Yarrowia lipolytica: one gene and its partner. The protein of the gene in region 1 interacts with the protein of each later gene in a biochemical or structural test. Links are inferred from orthologs where the notes say so. Each region holds a gene or a part of one and is shown on either strand. Other genes may lie near its edges.

What was found.
Region 2: of the proteins of YALI1_F14213g (region 1) and YALI1_D17770g, one has a biochemical effect on the other in vitro, tested with the Saccharomyces cerevisiae proteins (5 studies listed by BioGRID). The link is inferred for Yarrowia lipolytica from reciprocal best matches to the Saccharomyces cerevisiae genes MAF1 and SCH9.

The regions. Positions count from the first base shown.
Region 1 is NC_090775.1:1,419,196-1,423,272, reverse strand, and holds YALI1_F14213g (uncharacterized protein), read right to left. Parts: upstream 1,911-4,077; coding exon 1,905-1,910; intron 1,399-1,904; coding exon 505-1,398; downstream 1-504. Other genes in the region: YALI1_F14207g (uncharacterized protein), read right to left, coding at 2,104-2,565; YALI1_F14201g (uncharacterized protein), read left to right, coding at 3,147-3,677. UniProt on the Saccharomyces cerevisiae protein: Mediator of diverse signals that repress RNA polymerase III transcription. Inhibits the de novo assembly of TFIIIB onto DNA.
Region 2 is NC_090773.1:1,774,673-1,778,944, forward strand, and holds YALI1_D17770g (uncharacterized protein), read right to left. Parts: upstream 2,353-4,272; coding exon 676-2,352; downstream 1-675. UniProt on the Saccharomyces cerevisiae protein: Protein kinase that is part of growth control pathway which is at least partially redundant with the cAMP pathway. Regulates both BCY1 phosphorylation and MPK1 activity.

The DNA of each region.
Region 1 (4,077 bases):
GGTAATTGTAAACATAGAAACACCAGAAACAACCCGGCAACCAGCCCAAGTCGTTGTATATCTCTGTCCATCACACGGTGCTCGTCCTCCACCCCGTAATGGAACCTATAGAAGCCAGTTATCAATCAGGCACACCGAGGCCTATGCACGATAGACTCAGGGGATATCGTTGGACACGATACGCAATCACCAATGTCGCTTCGGCAGCCAATTACGCCATTGACGGGGCGGGGAGCGAATTGCCGATGTCTTGGTCCAACACAGATGATTGGATAGTTTGACCCAGCCCCGACCGCGTATAGCTGATGGGAAGCGAATCACAGCGCACTCGCGGGAATACACAGCAGCGCCAATGCCATATCTACTCTCTCCACCGTACCTGGTATACATTTATTACTCATATGTTGAAAAATCAAACGTCATAGGCTCGAACATTGTTGAACTGTTAAACTGAGTGGTGTTCTCGGCCGAGTGCTGCTGTGTTAAATAAAAATGTGCTCTGGACTACTCCAGATCAAGTTCTCCGACAATCTCGTCGTACATGTCAGTGTCGGAAGAATACGTGAGATCATAATCTTCTTCGTCGTCACCGTTGATCACATCGGACCTCATAATCTTGGGCCCCAGCGTAGGCGACAGAGAATGCCTCCTTGCGTTGAGAGAAATACATGCGACTCGCTTCATTCTCTTATTGAAAAAGAACCAGCTTAATGCCCACAGGGCGCCAGGCTCGTCGGCGAGAATCGTGGCGTCGGGCGTGAAGGAAAAGATTGTGCAGTTGTGCATCTCGATGCTCTTGTCCAGTACGTCCCACATCCGGGGCGGGATCGGCATACCCAGGCCGAACAGCACGTTGTTGAAGGACGAAATCACGGCCGATGCGCTCGGCTCGCGCTGAAAGTCGTCCGGCTGTAGCACGGAAAAGTCGTGATTAGGGTCTGACGCATTGAGAATCGCAATCAGATAAGCAAACACCTTCCTACTGGCAGTTTCGCTCATATCTCCAAAGGGAGAGGAGAGTAGAGGCGATAGCGAGCCGACAGAGACGCCTGCTCTCGAGGAAGAATAGGTTCTTTGCTTGGGCACTTTGCTCACGCCCTTGGGGCTTCGATTGCTCATCTTGCTGACGCTGCTGTCCAACGATTTGCCGTATTGGTAGTAGTTGTCAAAGGTGAGCACTTGTGGGGGAGAGAAAGATGTGCCGAGGGTGGAGATGGAGGTGAATGAGTCGAGCGCGTCTTGATGGTACGACAGCTGCTTGTCGAGCACCTTGTACAGCTTCTTGTCCGAGGAAGCGGGTTTGGTGGTGTACAGGTCAATGTTGCCGGAAACGTGGCATTCGGGTGTGTCGAATTTGAGTGCTGATGCCACCTCGTCGAGTGTGTGATCTTGTATGAACTGGGTTAGTGTGAGTTGATGGGTTGTGAGATGGGGGAAGAGCAATCACGGCACAGATAGAGAGACTAAGATGCGCATCTGGGTTTGTGGTTGGGCTTGTGTCTGTGTCGCTTGTCGAGAGCACGGTATGTTTGCGTGTACCCTCTGCGTGTTTCTCTGTGTGTGTCGCTGTGTGCGCCTTTCTGTGTGCCTCTCTGTATGTCTCTGTGTGTCTATCCTCGTGTGTATCGACAACTCTGTCTGCTAAAATCGACTTGCACATCCTGAAACCTCTTCTTATCACCACACCACCCCGGTAACACGCGCTGAGTGATTTTCGTCGCGTGTTAGCCGGTGTCTGAGGGATAAACATTCAAGAAACACCCCTTCATCGCCAACCTCGACTGATTGAAGGGCAAAAATCAATCGCCACAAACCCCCCTCGGTATCCCATTTCGTCCCCAAGACGTCCGACCTCGCCAAACAGCTTATCGAACACAATCTCTGTACCGTCTCCAACCACTTACCTTCATTGTGATGTGTGTTGCCGGCGGCTTTGTGTAACTTGGGCGGGCCGTGTGAGTATTGCTGAGTGTCGTGGAGGGTCGAATCGACGGCGTTTGATCTGACTAGGGTCGTTTTGATGTTCCTTTTCCGGTTGTGGGACTGGCTGAGTTTGAGTCCAAATGTATGTCATGTCAGGACTGCGTGGTGGATGTATAGCGCCTACATGCATAGTCTGATCAGGTGGGGAAGGCGTGGATCTGGACGGGGGGAAGGAGGAGGGAGCACAGATAAGACCACCGGACGGCTTAGTAATACAACAACGGCCCCGAACCGCTCCCCTAGCCCATATCGCCGTCTACATGGTGCCCTAAACCTCCCCATACTCTGATAGACCCCCACAAACACGCCCCATAAACAAGGTCCCATCATTATACCCGCATCGCCCGTCTCACCGTGCCGCCAATCACATAAGCTTATACTGCCACAATGGGAACTCCCACTTCTAGAACGGGACGCAGCAGCAGAGAACGTGCAGTGTAGCGGTGGAGTTTGAGCGTCAGGAAGGCTGGTGATCTGGTGTCCTAATGAGTCACGCCGTATTTGGCAGAGATTTAGCTGTCTTAGACGGTCGTCGAGTACTCGTGCTCGTATTGTACTCGTACTTGTAGCTCCAGGTAACATCACTTGGATATTGCTGTCATTCTAAACTTGCTGTTTAATTAATTTATTTAGATTGGGAGAATAACAAATGGCAGTTATTTTATGTAAAAAAAGAAGATATTTATACAAGCGACGAGGATTTATACATGTAAAATTTGCGAGAAAACCACAATTTTTTGTGTTATCGGGAATTACTTTTGCAAGTTTTTCCCATTTTTTCCCATTTTTTTCCAACTTTTCCCATTTTCCCCAATTTTTCCCATTTTCCCCAATTTTTCCCATTTTCCCCATTTTCCCCATTTTCCCCATTTTCCCCATTTTCCCCTTTTCCCCATTTTCATGATAGCAAAAACATCACCTCACTTCACCTCTTACCTGCCACAGTGGACCCACTCGTCCAGTCCGAGATTTTCCGACCGACAATCCCGGCAACAACACCAACGAGATCTACCCGTACCCTGAACGGTTAGTAAGCACAATCTGAAACCAAACCCAACCTCCGTTACACCTCCAACCCCAACCCACAGAGATCCAGACAAGGCGCAGGCGCTCTTCCTTGCTATCGTGACGTCAGATTCACGTGATCCCGCTGCTTCCTTATAATGGGCCTCTACGACACTAAGCCGGGCGGTCGGTTGAAACTCAAGGGCGACAAGGGCAAAGTAACCAAGTCGAAAAAGAAAAAGATCTCCAAGACGTCTTCTCCAGCACCAGCACCATCCTCATCACCACCAACAATGTCACTGCCTTCAGCCAAGGATATCGCCAAGTCTCCTCACGATACAGAGCATGCCAAAGAGTCCATTTCGGAGACTCCTCCTTCTGTGGAGACCAAGGGCGCGATCCCTATTCCGGGATCGTCCTCCAAGCGAATGGACAAGGCCAAGATTGCCGCGAGCACCTCGCCAGTGGAGACCACCCGAACGCCTAAAGAGCCGTATCTGACTGACGCCCAGAAGAAGTTTGAGGAGGCCAAGAAAGAGAGAGTGAGTATGCAAGTGAGCGGACAGGGGGGATGTGGTGGCCGATCGAAGGTCGGCTTTCACCGCACATTATCTGCGTTTGTTCAGGCCTACAGTAGTAGAACAGCAGGGCCGCATTTCGATCTCGAACAAATAACACTATCATTTTGAGCGTTGACTGTCTGGATCAGGATTTTTCAGCGGCATCAAGTGGGGTCAATATCGTCTTATTTCTGCGTTGTTGAACCTCCTGTTGTGGCAATGTGTACTGTCAGAAGTCGATGTTGGTTGACAGACTACCGACAAGTGGTTTACAATGATCTTGGTCAGCTTTGAAGGTCAGCTTTAATGGGAAGACCAGCTTCTATTACTTGACTACCGACCTACAGTTGTCCGCCGATATCTCTCCAGACAGACAGACGACACACTCTTCTGATCCTCCCTACCAGGTAACTTCAGGCTGTCTAACCGCCGTAAGAATATACTAACCCAGCTCATGGAAAAGATGACGAAGCAGAAACCGTTCAAGGAAAGAGTGCAGGACTACAACGACCATCTGTCCAAGCTGACG
Region 2 (4,272 bases), on another chromosome or scaffold:
CTATAAAACAAACCATTTTATGAAAGGATATGTTTTCTAATTAAAGTGAAGTAAAATCGGTTTGTTTTGTTGACCAAATGGTTGAAACTCTCAGACTTACCAACTTCATCAATAGTGGTCGTGAGACGTTTATTTTTGTTTCATCGAAATCCCCGTGGTCGTCTGAGTACATTTACGTCATTAATTTTGTCGCACAGCGACTTCATGTCCTTCAATGTGTGGGTTCGTGGCTAGACACCAAAAGCAACACTCAATAAACCTATTATCTTGACATGGCTGGACCCGCTCTTCCACAAAATTTCTGTAAGTGCCATTTGTCTTTCAATTGACCCCCATTGAACATCTCCAACGTTGACCATTCAACAGAGACACATCTGACGACCGTCACGGCACGAATCGCCCATACGAATCGTACTGCTAAAGACGGCGCATCTACTCCGGACAGCCCAGGGCCATCCGTATCTGACAGAAATAGTATTAACAAAATAAAGAAAATAAGTGGTTCTAGGGATGTAATGCACGGATAGCAACGTCGCACCACCAACGGCCTGTCCAACGGCCGGTCCAACGGCTCGTACAGCGAATGGCGTGTGCGACAAAACTGTAGACGCATGTCTCTTTTCTTGAAAGAAAGACAGAACGCCATTGTCTTGAACAACGGCTCGACAAGACTCGTTACATCTCAAACCGCCCGCTGAACATCTCCTCATCGCCCATATCCTCGTCCTCGTTATCACTCTCCATCATATCCTCATCTACAGTCTCCACGGGTCGAGAGGTGGGCCGGTGCTTGAAATGCTCATCCATGGACGACTCGCCAACAAAGGTGAAGCCCACGAAATTGTCCTGGATTCGTGGCGACAGTGGGGTGCCCACCTTCATCGACTTGAACAACGAGGTCGACGCCTCGGTGAACTCGGGGTCAAAGTTGGAAGTGTCAGTCTCCGACGCCACGTGTGGCTTGAACGGAGGAGGGATCTTCTTCTGGATGAGCTGGTCCCAGTCGATATCGTGGAAAAAGGGATGGCGCCGCAGCTCTCGAGCGTCATCCTGGGCTCCCAGCCGGTTTTCGGGGTTTCTGTTGAGCAGACCCTTGACGAACGATCGGCCCTCGGCAGACAAAGCATCCTTGGGGAACTTGACCTTGCCAAAAGCAATGTTCTTGTACATCTGCTGGGTGTCATCGGCGTGGAATGGCGACCAGCCGCAGCACATTTCGAAAATGAGCACGCCCAGCGACCAAAAGTCGACCATCTTGGTGTATCCGGACTCGTCCAGCAGCACCTCGGGGGCAAGGTACTCGGTGGTGCCGCAAAATGTGGACGTGGTGTCTCCCTGGGTCACATTGGCCTTGGACAGACCAAAGTCACACAGAGCAATGTGTCCGTTGGCGTCAAGCAGAATGTTTTCGGGCTTGAGGTCTCGGTACACAATGTTGTTGTCGTGCAGGTGTTCCAGCGCAATGACGAGCTCGGCGATGTAAAACTTGGCTCGCTGCTCGCTGAATCGGCCCTCTCGCTGCAGGTGCCAGAACAGTTCGCCTCCGCTCATGTAATCGGTAACAAAGTACAGGTCCGCCTCGGTCTGGAACGAAAACTTGAGGCCGACAATGAAGGGTGACTGGGTAGTAGAAGTTCGCACGAGAATGTCTCGCTCGCCAATTGTGTGAGCAATCTCCTTCTTCTGCACAACCACCTTCTTGGACAGCACCTTCATGGCGTAGATTCGGCGCGTGTCCTTCTTTCGCACCTGATAGACCTGGCCAAAGGTGCCCTTGCCAATGAGCCGCAGAATCTCAAAGTCCTCGGGGCCCATCTTCGTTCGCACCGTGTCTTCGTAGTACGCCTGCACTCGCACCTCGCCATTGACGTGCTCGCCCTCGACTCGGTTTTCCAGCGGGTACCACGCATCGAGCACCTTGCCGGGGCCCAGGATCGTCGAGATGCGCACGTGGCCCAGAAAGGCGTCGTTGTTGGCGCCGTCGTAGACGGAGATGACGAGCTCCGAGGCGTCACGGGCGGTCACGTCGAACACGGTCTCTTCCTTCCATGTGGGGTTGATGGATCCGACGGTGTGTCCCGACGCCATGATGGGCTTCTTGGGCATGATGTTGACGCCGGCGTTGGACGCCATAGGGGTGGTGTTGCCCATGGCCACGTCGTTAGGATCCGAGTCGCCGGTCTCGGTGATGAACTCGGAGGTGCCGAAGGTGCACACCACGTAGGGTCTGCAGTTGGGGGCGGCCTGCAGGTTTCGGGCGGCGACGATTTTCGCCACCAGTTTGGCCTTGGACGAGGTGGATTCTTCGAGCCCCACGTGCGGGGTTTTTTCCTGGATCTGGCCAAAGTTCATGGTGGTGGAGTTGAGCGACGACTTGCTGGAGGTTGGTTGGCTGACGGTTGGGGTGGTGGTGTTGGACGACAGCGACTTCTTTTTCAGATCGAGTTCCTGGAGACGGTCCCGGGATTGACGTTTGCCGTGGATGATCTCGCCGGAGACGTTGACGGTTTCGCTGGTGCACACGGCCTTGGGGACTTGTTGAAGGTGTGTGGTGGATGGAGATCGCAGGATCGGGGGCGCGGGCGACGGGGCGTTTGTGTTGGTGCTGGGGCCTGTGGTTGTGTTGGAGTAACTGCCCGGCGGGGGGGTTGGGGGAACCTGTTTGGTGTCGGTTGACGGTGGGGGCTGACCTTTTTGTGGAACGAAAACAGAGAGCGGGGGAACTCCACCATAGTGTGTTTGAGGCAGCTAGGGGAGACGGTCGTGGGGGAGCCTTCTGTGTCGTGTGTGGTGTCGAGCTATTACACTACTGTAGCTGGGTGTGATGAAGAACAAGCTGCGAGTTATCGCTAAGAAAACTTTCTTTATCGATAACGATTGGCGGTGGACGCTGCTTTGTGGGGGTTTGGCGGGTGATTTTTGGCAAATGGGACTGAAAATGGGGTCTTTGGACCCGACCAAAACGATGTTACCACCCCGATTCCCGTCAGAAGCTCTGCCCGTCGCCACAAACACCCCTCGGCCTCTCACTAACACATTCTAATTATGCATTCTATCTACAACCCTAGCCCATGACGTTGCTTCAATTACCAAGAAAAAGAATAGTGTGATTGGAGCGACGGCCTTCACGGCGACTGCGGCGGCGGGGGCGGCGGACGTGGCTGGCTAGGAATTCCGCAGATTGAGAATCTCCAAGGACCACGCATCTCTCACCTGCGCGGCTCTGGGTTCTGTGTGTCTACACACACGGCTGGGTGGCCCCTACCACGTCTACTTTCTGCTTATATCGCTCTCCAGATTTGGGCTTGCTTTCCGACGCAAAAAAATTAGCACGAGGCTGACAAGCCGCAGCCCGAAACCAGCACTAGCTGTGCGATGAGCGTTGGGTTTTGGGCGGGAAAAGGGCGATTTGGACGCGAGCCGCGCGGGCGGGTTTTCCCGACTTTTTCCACAATAAATGCGATTTTTGTCCGACGTTTGAGCCCCCCTCCAAACAACCGCCGCGGACTTGTTGTCGGACCCACATTCAACTTTTTTAATATATGCTTTGAGACGCGCATGTAAGTGAAAATGTGGGCGTATAGATGTGGAATACAAGTACGAGTATCAGCATGGCGAGTGGGAATCGACCGTCTCAGAGATTTATCGGTCCACTAGGAGTAATCTGAATCAAGAGAACGTGGTCATAAGTACAAGTAGAACTCGTGCAACTCGTAGAACTCCGTCATCATAAGCTGATTTTGCTTGTAGAATGGAGAGTAAATATAAGAATTTGGTTAATTTGAATTTAAAAATAAAATAAAGAAGATTTAAATCGGATAATTTGAATTTAAAAAATGATTTAAATCGAAATGAGGATAGAATAGAGTCTGATAAGACCATAAAGTATCCGATAAGGCAGCACCCTCTTTATTAGTTGTTTTTCTTTCCCATCGCGGTTTTTGTCGTTGCAAAAGAGTCATAAAACCCCCCTTCACTATCTCCAATGTACAATACACAATGTACAACCCCGGGTCAATCTCAAAGCCTGATTGATAATCCACACTTTTTTGCAACTCTATATACCACTGATTACCAATACAGTTGAACATGTGGGGATGTCCGGGATTCGACGTTGGTTCATGTGTCACGTGACCCTTTTGGTTGCCCCGAGTTTGTGCTGTTTTTCTCTCATTATCGTTTGTTTTTTCATCTTTACCAATCTTGTAACAAAACATCAACTACAATTTCAACTATGTACTTACTGGATTTTGTCTGTATCCGAGTATGTGA